3 linked regions of the Caenorhabditis elegans genome follow. The protein of the gene in region 3 interacts with the protein of the main gene of each other region in a pairwise test. Each region holds a gene or a part of one and is shown on either strand. Other genes may lie near its edges. The genes, in order: eif-3.D, arrd-24 and K04G2.10.

Evidence for each region.
Region 1: the proteins of K04G2.10 (region 3) and eif-3.D interact in a two-hybrid assay, tested with the Caenorhabditis elegans proteins (one large-scale study listed by BioGRID).
Region 2: the proteins of K04G2.10 (region 3) and arrd-24 interact in a two-hybrid assay, tested with the Caenorhabditis elegans proteins (one large-scale study listed by BioGRID).

What each region holds. Positions count from the first base shown.
Region 1 is NC_003281.10:8,969,101-8,973,639, forward strand, and holds eif-3.D (Eukaryotic translation initiation factor 3 subunit D), read right to left. Parts: upstream 2,479-4,539; 5' UTR 2,477-2,478; coding exon 2,295-2,476; intron 2,249-2,294; coding exon 1,289-2,248; intron 1,242-1,288; coding exon 813-1,241; intron 771-812; coding exon 629-770; 3' UTR 535-628; downstream 1-534. Other genes in the region: Putative RNA polymerase II subunit B1 CTD phosphatase rpap-2, read left to right, coding at 1-134, 179-328, 380-527; R08D7.4 (Complex1_LYR_dom domain-containing protein), read left to right, coding at 3,121-3,534, 3,588-3,888, 3,960-4,061, 4,217-4,351, 4,407-4,539.
Region 2 is NC_003284.9:13,978,438-13,982,173, forward strand, and holds arrd-24 (Arrestin C-terminal-like domain-containing protein), read right to left. Parts: upstream 2,081-3,736; 5' UTR 2,070-2,080; coding exon 1,888-2,069; intron 1,844-1,887; coding exon 1,738-1,843; intron 1,644-1,737; coding exon 1,481-1,643; intron 1,438-1,480; coding exon 1,328-1,437; intron 1,283-1,327; coding exon 803-1,282; 3' UTR 632-802; downstream 1-631. Other genes in the region: F48F7.6 (Zf-C4pol domain-containing protein), read left to right, coding at 1-343.
Region 3 is NC_003279.8:8,058,098-8,061,021, forward strand, and holds K04G2.10 (uncharacterized protein), read left to right. Parts: upstream 1-1,706; coding exon 1,707-2,381; downstream 2,382-2,924. Other genes in the region: F18C12.4 (Small integral membrane protein 29), read right to left, coding at 2,746-2,814, 2,863-2,924.

The sequences.
Region 1 (4,539 bases), on a different chromosome or scaffold from region 3:
GCTGAGCAAATTTTGATGGATTTTTTGTCCGGTAAAAAGGTGGACGCGGAGAAATTGGTCAATTTGCCGAATCTTGATAAGTACAATGTGAAAGAGAAGAGATTGAATATTTTCCTGCATTCTATTAGGAATCAGTGAGTTTATCTAGCAATTTTAAATATTAATTTTGAAATTACAGCTGGATGGATTTGGAAGCACGTTTACATTTAACTCCAACTCGTCGTGATATTCTCAGTCGAGTAGCTTCGACATTCCAACTCGATTCGGAAAATATCACTGGCTGGACAAAGAGAGAAATTAATTCTATCGTTATTGCTCTTTTCATTGTGTAAGTTCTAAAAAATGCATAATTAAAAAATTTCAAAATGTTGAAATTTAGGATTTGCCTCGTCGATGTTGAGCTTGGAGACGACTACTTCAAGAAGGACAACGCTTCTCCAGAACTTACTGCGATTTCCAATGAACTATGCGGGCTTGATTCTTTCCAAATTACCGGTTTGCACGCTGCGATTAAATCCCAATGTTGAATGATATTTTGAATAAAGTTTATCTTATCAGAACCAAGTTTAATTAACAAGAGACAATAATTAGAAAAGCGAATACAAGAAATTGTCAGAAACCGGGGACTTTATTGATCGTCATCCGAGTTCTCCTCGTCGGAGCTCTCGCGCTCGCTTTCGAAAGTTCCTTCTGGAAGCGAATAAAGGCGGATAACCGGAGATTGTGGATCCTTCATCAACAAGTACTTTCCTGGTTTTTGCTTCATACAACTGGAAAAAATTGATTACCAGTCTGGATGTGCTCGTTCTTACCTGTCAATGACGCATCTAAGAATTCCCCAGCAGTTATCCATGTTCAAGGCGATGTTGCTAGCAAACTCCGTTGGCTTTACGTATTGGGTGAGTAGAATAGAATGATTTTGTGTGCTGCGTGCATTGTTACGAGACACATATCCGAGCTTCATTGTGTCGGAACCGGCAAGAAGTGCTTGCAGAGTCCACTTTGCAACCTTAGCTGAGTTGTTCTTGATTTCGGTGGCCATTACGGCTCCCTTTTGAACATCAAGCTTTGTTCTCCAGTCGACACCTCCAGATTGTGTGCTATCCCATTCGTTGAATGCCTTGATTGTAAGAGTCTGAGTCTCATTTCCGAGTCCGTGAATAACTCCATCCAATTCTGTACGGCAAACCAACTCAACTGGTTTTCCATCAACTCCGTTTCCAAGATTCCACTTACGGTATCTAAAAATTGTTTAATTAAAGATCAAAATTTTAAACGAAAATCCTACTTGTAAGCAGTTCCTGACTCTCCAGTCTCCTCGTCTTCGAATGGAGCACGAGCATTCTTGAAGGTGAATCCTGCGTCGTTTCTCTTGACGACTTGACGACGGAAGTTTTGGTTAATGTAGAATGCCTCGGTCGCAAGATCCTTGGCATTGTTGATACCATTTCCGTCGAATGATGGTGGTTCGGCACTAGTCTCGGAAACAGTAAGGGTCTCAACTGGATTCAAAATATCTCTAGTGTTTCTCTTATCGAAGAAAAGTTTGTCTCCGACTCTGTAGGCAACAATGTCCCACGAGTAGACCGAACGAGGAGCAGTCATCAAAGTAGCAAGAATTATGTCTGTTCCGAAAACATTTCCAGCACCACCTTGAGCAAGTTCTTGAATTACAGGATCTTCCGTTGTGGTGACATTGTAGAACACGCCAGCGCATCTTTGAAGCGGAATAGAATTTTTCACAGAAACGCGATCAATAGTCTTGTCATAGTATTGAAGACTTCCATACTGGTGATCCCCAATGTCGTCTCCTCCTGGGATGTTAGGAAGAGCAAGTTTGGAAAACGCACTAAGATTCATTTCTTCAAGAACAACCCATTCCGGTCTAACTTGAACAGATGGAAGACGTTCCTTCGGCCGATCACCTCCGAATCGACCACCTTGTCCGCGTTGTCCTTGACGAGCATTTCCTCCACGACGTTGCCACATCTTGAAGGCACGTTGTTGCTCCTTGGCGATACTTCTCTTCATTCTCAAATTCGTTGACTGGTTCACCATCTCACGCTTCTCATTTTCTTTCTGCATCATCTTACGAAGATGCATTTGGCGGACACGGAAGTTGCGCTGTGGATTGCGAGCCATTGGTTTAGAAGTGTCAACAAGTTGGAAGTTATGCTCATCCATTCCATGAATGTAATCGAACTGACTTCCAGCGTTGGCGGCGGATCCATAGACACGCTCATTGTATCTAAATTTCAAGTTTTAACGATACCACTCATTTGTTGTATAAAAACCTCTCATTTCCTCTTCTATAGAATCTATCAACACCAATCCAGTCGGCAACACGTCCGATGCGATCAGCCTTGTTGAATTGTTGGAATGGAACAGGCTCATCAGCAGAGGAACTCGACGCCAATGGACCCCATCCGACTGTATTATCAGCCAATGACAACAGTTCAAACTTTGGTAGAGCCATACCTGAAATAAATATAAAATAGTGTTGAAATGCAATTTTAGGCCAAACGATAGCAACGACAAAAGAAATGGAAATGGAACAATAACATTCGAGAGCATTTAAAATATAGTTACAAGACTTTCATGAATTTATATAATTCACAAAACAGAAAAATTAATCAGAAAATCGTATAAAAATGTGAAAAATCCGACAAGAACGCGTGTAAAAATAAAAATGTTTAATCGAGAAATGCGCAAGGTACACGAAACGCGCCAACATTCGCCACTTGACGCCACCTCAATTTTTGGTTTTTATTTGTTTTCTCCAAATTTCCTCGCATAATCAGAATATAATTCCAGAAACGGGTCCACCTTGATGAATACAGTGCCACAAAGTATTCGAGTCATTCAGCTCTATCGACAGATTTTAAAATTGGGCAAGAATTGGAAAGCAAAAGAAGAAACAAATACTGTAGTTGAGAGACAACAAATTATCACTGAAGCTCGTCAGGCTTTCCGAGAGCACCAGCAGGTATTCTCGTTCTCAATATTGATGTGGAAACTAATTATATGGGATTTTTCAGGAAAAAGACCCAATAGTGATTGGCAAACTAATCTATCAAGCGGAGCAGCGAATCGTTCAAGCAGAACACTACGGAATTCCACATGCAAGACCCGAATACCTTCCTCCTGATACCGCTTATTCAGTCAGAACGAAAACGCAAAATTTTCACAAAATGTCAAGAAAACGGAGAACTGAGCGGGATGGTCCACTCAGAAAAGGAGACAACTGAACTCCAGTTCAAAAGATTTTATTGTAGCGCTTCAAAAATTCCGGATCAGCTAATGAAGGATATTGTAGAACAATGCATAAAAGATTCGGAATATGCTGAGAATCTTTGCAACAATGTCTTCAATAATGAAATTGTCACATCGCATGAAATTCGTTACAAATTTCAAATAAATGTTCTTAAAAACTTGATTTCTGAACTTCAAGCCAATAATGTTGTTGTTCCTGATTCAATGTTCGACAGGCTTGGTTCTCTAATGGGAATGAAAGAAGGAGAATATGTGGAAAGAGTAAGTTTTTAAACAATTCGTCAGCTCAAATGGAAATAATTTCATATTTTCAGGTTTACCTAACCGATGGAGGCGACAAAGTTCTAGCGAAATTCTCGGAAGCTGTAAATCAACTATCAATGGGTACAACTGGCTTATCAGTTTGGCAAGCTTCTTGTGATCTCGCCAATCTTTTTCGCTTGATTCCCTCCGAGTACAATCGAATATTAGAACTCGGGTCAGGATGTGGTGTTAGTGGAATTGCAATTGCAAAAATGAATGATTGTTGTGTGACGCTCACTGATTATGATGATAATGTGCTGAATCTTTTAGAAGAGAATATTGCGAAAAACGATCTGAAGAGTGATACTGAAGGTATTTTTTGAGAAATAAAATCGACTCCTTCCGTATTTCAAATTTAAAAATATTTAGAATCTAAATTGTAGATTCGTCAGCCAACAACAATCAAGCAACAGTTCGCTCACTCAATTGGTGTGATTTTGATTTCTCTGAATGGAAGGAACCCACGGATTTGATTATCGCGGCCGGTAGGTTTTGCTAATACTTTTATTTGTTAAATTCTTTGTTTTTCTATATGATATTCGTGTGAAACGAAACCCTTCAAATAACAGCTTCAGGCACTCATTATCCAAGTCTTCTCATTTCTCTGTGTCTCTCTTCTCTTTCACGTCTCCTTTTTCAGATGTTGTCTACGACACTGCATTGCTCGCCTCTCTCTGCAATGTGCTCAATCTTCTGCTCCGCCACTCAAAAGCTGCTATCGTTGCGTGCACTCGTCGTAACGAGTCGAGTATTGAGTGTTTCGAGCATCATTTGAGTTAGTTATTTTTCTTTCGTACACAATATTTTTCTATTCACTATATTTTTTACAGAAATGGCAAAACTAGAAATTGTGGAAAAATTCGAATACGAAAACGGTGCCTACACAATTGGAGAAAATTCGTATCATTATGCATCTATTTTCCCATTTTTCTCAACTCTCAAAACACCTACAATTTTTTATAA
Region 2 (3,736 bases), on a different chromosome or scaffold from region 3:
AGAGATTAAAACCAGAAATCGCATGGAACAATTGGACATTGTTCAAGCCAGAATTGTAAGAGAGATGAAGGCTGTAGCAATTGCTCAGGGAAAATCAGAAGAGGAGGTTGAGCACATTCTGGCAAAGCAAGGACGTAAAGCTCGTCGAATGCAAAGATCTGAATACAAACACGCAGAGGAAGACAATAAAGGTGTTCGCCAAAGACTTGCCGCCAAACTTGTGGCCAAGAAATCGGAAATTATTGAGCGTTTCTGCCTTGCTCAACGTACTGTCTTTGTTAAAGCAGATTGTCCAAATGTCTATGGCCGGACAACCACTCACATTTCCTATCTTTTAGAATAAGTTGCTGTCGTCGTTGCACTGTTATCTTGTTTCACTACTGCACAAAAAGTGGCTCACAAAAAAATCCTGTAAAATTGTCTATAAAAATTCACCGTCAATCTCGAATATCACTACTCCTCATATTATTTTCTGAAATGTTTTTTTTTAAACTTATCTGTTGATTGTAATAAACTTGTAATTTACAATTCATCCTTATAGTTTTTTGAATCTACCCTACCTTATTTTTTGCCAAATGAATATTTTTGAAACTCAATGTTTAGCAATAGAGAAAGAAAATTGATTGACTAATGTAAATGGCCAGAATTTTATTAATTCACAATTATACAAGAAAAAATAAAATAAAATACCCAATTAAATTTTAGTTACACACATTGATTCCTCATAAGACGGCGGTAGAGCGGATGTTCCCGCTGTATCATCGGTCGGAGCACTTGGAACCACAGTTGAATAGGCTGGAGGTTAGGAATCCAGCCGCTCAAGGACAGGTGGATCAGACGGAAAGGTAGTTACCGTTGGCTCCACGATCGATTCAGTTATTGGCACTGTGCCGATGATGATATCAAACTCGCAGTGCAATGTATTATTAAGGGTTGTTAAAGTGTCCAACCTCACAGAAAGACAATACTCAATGCTGATAATGGGACTTGTAAATGTTGGTGGCGACTTTGGGATTTTCATCCGCAGCATTTCACGGCCAGCGGTTTTTGGAGCAATTTTTATGCTTTTTCGAGCTTCTGCAATACGTTTGCTTTCATCCTTGTGATGTTCGTGGTAAGACGAATGAGTGCATAAGAGGCCATGGTTTTTGCTAGCATTGTAATGCGAGTGCTGATGAAGTTCAGCTCGCACAAACGTTGCTGCACGTTTGGAAGCATTGTCAATGTCGATTGTGATTGGCAGGTATTCTCCAGGAGCATATCCTGCTTTGGGGATAGTTACCTGAAAGCATTAAATAACCTATCAATGTAGCAGCGTTGTACTCACAGTTATTGTTACTATTCCTTTTTTAAATATTTGCCCAATGTCCTTCACATCCTTCATCATTCTAGGAACATTTCCCAACGGAAGATGATTCAAGTCAAAGTTGGGAATAACTGAAAAATAACTTTTTGCGCACATTAACAATTTTCGAAATACCTTTGAAGTCTTCCCTTTCGTTTTTGTTGAACTTCCATGGTCTGTCAAGCTCAACTCGCACGGAATAACGAACGTGGCCGTGGAAACCTTCAAAACTAGGTGGACATTCTATCGGGAGTGGAAATGCAAACGGGAAGACATGGTGGCCAGATGGAAGTTTTTCCTGTAACAATATTGTAGTTTGTTATCAGTTAAATGCATGAAACTAAATACTCAAGATCGTCTTTTGTACATTACACTTCCAATTTAAGACTTACAGTTCCATTTCTTGCACTCCATGCAATCGTTTCTCCAGAGACGTAGTCAACTTCTGCAGAGTAGTGCACAATTTCAGTATAACTTTCCTCTTTTCCTTCACAATTACTAAACTCTTGTATGTCATTAGGTCTAGATGTCTTGGAGCTTACGTTCTGTATCGTCGTTCCCCTTCACTCCACTTCGTATGCGCAGCACCGTGAATACAGATTTTCAAGAATCGGGCAGTGATTGGCTCGTTGGATCTCAAAACAACCTGCCCAGTAACAGTTTGACCTGGTGCATAACCTCTCGGGCTATCGAACACAATTCCAAAGTGATCCATATGTTCCATATCTAAACTAAAAAGATACAAGGAAATTTAGAATTTTAATTAAGGAAAATGTTGTATGATTATAAAATGAATGAAAACTGATAAAATGAAGTGGTTATCAAATAAATTGCCGTTTTATAATATATTGTGACTCAAAACGCGTAATCAGGAGGTAAAATGTCGTCATCAGTCTTATACCGTGCGTTATTTGATTTTTGTGAAATCATATTTATATTATAAAACGGCAATTTATTTGATAACCACTTCATTTTATCAGTTTTCATTCATTTTATAATCATACAACATTTTCCTTAATTAAAATTCTAAATTTCCTTGTATCTTTTTAGTTTAGATATGGAACATATGGATCACTTTGGAATTGTGTTCGATAGCCCGAGAGGTTATGCACCAGGTCAAACTGTTACTGGGCAGGTTGTTTTGAGATCCAACGAGCCAATCACTGCCCGATTCTTGAAAATCTGTTTTCACGGTGCTGCGCATACGAAGTGGAGTGAAGGGGAACGACGATACAGAACGTAAGCTCCAAGACATCTAGACCTAATGACATACAAGAGTTTAGTAATTGTGAAGGAAAAGAGGAAAGTTATACTGAAATTGTGCACTACTCTGCAGAAGTTGACTACGTCTCTGGAGAAACGATTGCATGGAGTGCAAGAAATGGAACTGTAAGTCTTAAATTGGAAGTGTAATGTACAAAAGACGATCTTGAGTATTTAGTTTCATGCCTTTAACTTCACAGAATATTTTACTCTCTGGCTTCACAGAATATTTTAATCTCTGGCTTCACCGTATATTTTACTCTCTGGCTTCACAGAATATTTTACTCTCTGGCTTCGCAGAATATTTTACTCTCTGGCTTCACCGTATATTTTACTCTCTGGCTTCACCGTATATTTTACTCTCTGGCTTCACAGAATATTTTACTCTCTGGCTTCGCAGAATATTTTACTCTCTGGCTTCACCGTATATTTTACTCTCTGGCTTCACAGAATATTTTACTCTCTGGCTTTACAGAATATTTTACTCCCTGGCTTCACACTTTTTTGAATTTGGTTTCGAAATTCTGAAAGAACACAAAATTTGCAACAAAATGGCTACAGGATTTTTGAAAAAGTTAGTTTGACGCCAGATTCTAATTTTTGAAAATTGGAAAATCTACTAATTTTGCATGGTCGTTTTTAGTCATTCTCAAACTGTGCACTAAAAGGTATGACTGAAAATCCACTTTTTCTGCTTGAACTCCGCTAGAGGAATTTCTGTATCCGAATTATTTTTTACAGGCATATACCTTGACGAAATTACAAAAAAAAATTTTTGGAATTTTGGGAGACTTGATATGGCCCTGAATAGAAAATTTTTTTCTAAGATTATTGGTAAAGTTCGGGACCTGGAAATTAAATTTAAGCCACGCTAGAGGGGTTTCTGTATCCGAATTATTTTTTACAGGCATATACCTTGACGAAATTACAAAAAAAAAATTTTGGAATTTTGGGAGACTTGATATGGCCCTGAATAGACAATTTTTTTCTAAGATTATTGGTAAAGTTCGGGAAATATACGGTGAAGCCAGAGAGTAAAATATACGGTGAAGCCCGAGAGTAAAAAATACGGTGAAGCCAGAGAGTAAATGTTATATATTTTGTAATAATAATAGAAGAGCTTTATTA
Region 3 (2,924 bases):
TTCAAATAAAGTCTGAAATTTTCTTTGCAAACTATTAACTTCAGCTAAATCGAATAATAGGTCTTATTGCTTTAGTAAATAGAAAGTGGTATTAATATTTTCCAGTACATTTATATCCACTTAAACTTTCAGTTGTGAAAATTCAGATACCAGCTTTTCCAACCGGTCACACCTTCTTCTTACATTTGCTTTTCCTCTGGACACATTCAAAACTCCAGAATTATTATATTTGTTCGGCAAACTGCAAACATTCGTCTCCCAGACTACCCATAAAAATCATAAAAATCGTACAACAACTGGACAAAAAAAAACAACAATATACATATATGAGTGGAGGATATCAGCATATTACCCTGTCAAGGTCGGGCATGTGTTAGAGGTTTTAGAGATACAAAGAAATGAAGAAAAATGAATGAGAAGGAGACTTATTGATGAGAAAATGGCAAATTCATGATAACACATGAACAAAGAAGTTATGCGATTGTAGTGAAAAGGCATGCTTAGTGAGAAATTTTGATATTCTGCACGGGCGGTTCACTGAGACATTTATAATTAAAGATCAGGATTAAAACAAAACACAATTCCTGAAAAGTATTTTCTGAAAAAAAAACATTTATACTTGAGTGTGAATTTTTATTTTTGCAGGAACCACACAAGCTGAATCTCTACTAACCCGACAGGTGAAGATTTTTTCGAGTTGGAATATAACGTTTTTAAGAATGAGTTCATAATCTTTGTACTGTTTGAACAACTGATTTTCCCAAATTTTTTAGAACGAAACTGAAATTATGTTGAGGCCACTGATCTTTGCGAATCGGCGAGGTTCCGAATCAAGTCGACGCCGGAAATCTTTTCTACTATGATCTTCTCACGTCCTACTTCAGTCGTCTTCGTCCCATTGATCTTGACCTGAAACATTTTGAAAACTAAAGCGAGTAGAAACGAAGTAAAAATAAAGACGGCTCTATCTGATTCCATATCAATTCAGCATCCCGGAAAACTGTTGTAATCTGGACATGACCGGGAGACGCGAAAATTCCCTCACATTTTCTTGTCTCAAAGATCTGTCAACTCCTGATTCCAACCAGTTTTCCGCAATACTGAATTGAGAGTTAATATTTCATGCATTTCGCCGGAGTTCAATTTGATTCTGCAGTTTTCACTTTGAGCTAATCTCCAACTTTTGCTTTCAATCCAATAAATCATAGACAACTTTGATAAATGAAGCATATAATCTGTACTACCACGAATTCGCCCGTCGATTGCTCCAACATAAATCGAATAGCACGTTGGAATGGGCAACCATTGTCGGCGACTAAAAATCTTAATATTATAAAAAATTTTGTTCCAGTCCCAACATTCTCGAAATCTTTTTTGATCTACCAAATTGGTACTTCTTTGTAAATGTCATAAACAGGTGCGAGAGGAACCAGATAATATCGATCTCATAGCAAGAGAGAAATGATGTCATCGGAGCAGATGTTCTCCTTTCCTATGCCATTCTTTTTGCTAGTTACAGCACTACATTATCGATTGCAGCTTTGGGTCTCGACACGAAAACGCTCGTCTCCGATATATCGACTGCTACTGTGCTCAATCAAACATTACCCATCTTTGTTCTTGTTTTCCTTATTTTTTATTTTTTTTGGAACACATTAATTTTTATATTTTTTATTTATTTCAGAAACTCAACACTAAAAAGAAGTATGCAACGCTATAATCCACCACAAAGCTCGAATCAAATGTACTGCCCAGGATGTAATCGTCAAATTCGAAAAGTTCAAGAGTTGATGGACGAGAGGTACCTGACAAACATTTGTAATGAAGTGGAGAAGAACACCATGAGACTTCAAATTCAAGATTTGGAGAGACAAGTTCAAATGCGTCGATGTGAGAATCGGAAGATGAAGACTATTCAGGAAGTCGAAAAGGAAGGATCAACAGAATCTCAAGATTCAATTCATGACCATCCAATGGTAAAAGTGTTGATGGAGATCAACGATCAATTGATGATTGAAATGAGAAAAAAGGTTGAAGCTCCAGAAGAATATCCATTAGAAGAATGGAAAGATGCTATTGAACAAAAATGGAGTGAAAAGTATGAAAAGCTTCGTGATTATGCATTGGATCAACAAGACATGGTCAAATATATGGAAGAGAATGATGATCGACAAAAAGAAAGTATTGAGAAGTATAAACGGAAAATTGGTTCGATGAAAAAAGTAATTGAAAAGATGGAATTCGAAATGGCACTTCTTCAATCGGAATTGGAAATGAAAGACTCCTCATGTGTCGAGAAGTCTGTAAATAGTGAGGAAAAGCAGGAAAACAAGGAAAATCTTTCTGGTGTTCTCGATAATAAATTCATTTTCCAGAACTAATAATCTAACTTCAAAATCTCTTTTTTTTTCAATGCTTTATGTTATTTTCTTGCTTTTTACGAATAAAGTCTGTAATGACTATTTTTCGTTATATTGAAAAACCTTGGAGTCAGGAGTCTTCATAAAAGCAACAAACTTGCCCATTTCGGTAAAATAATTTAACTTTTAAAATAATCTAAAAAACAATTAAATGTTTTCTTGGAAAATTGTTTTGCTAAATCTTTTCATTCACCCAAAAAAATCAATGGCTATGGAAGCCCCTCAGTATTGAAAAATAAATGTTCTCAGGTTTCATATTTAGGTAAATTCATTAAATGTTACGAAAACTTTATTTATTCCAATAAGTAATTTCTAACAAGTTCTATCAATTGTCATCATCTACGAGTTCATTTCTTCTGACTAATCGCATTATGTCCAAAATCAATTTCTTTTTCTGAAAAATGAAATAAAATTGAAAATTTAATTTAATTTATGTTCTTACCTTTGCATAGTCATTATCGCTCATTCCCTCAAGAACTGGATCGAAATCTCTTTCGAATGTTT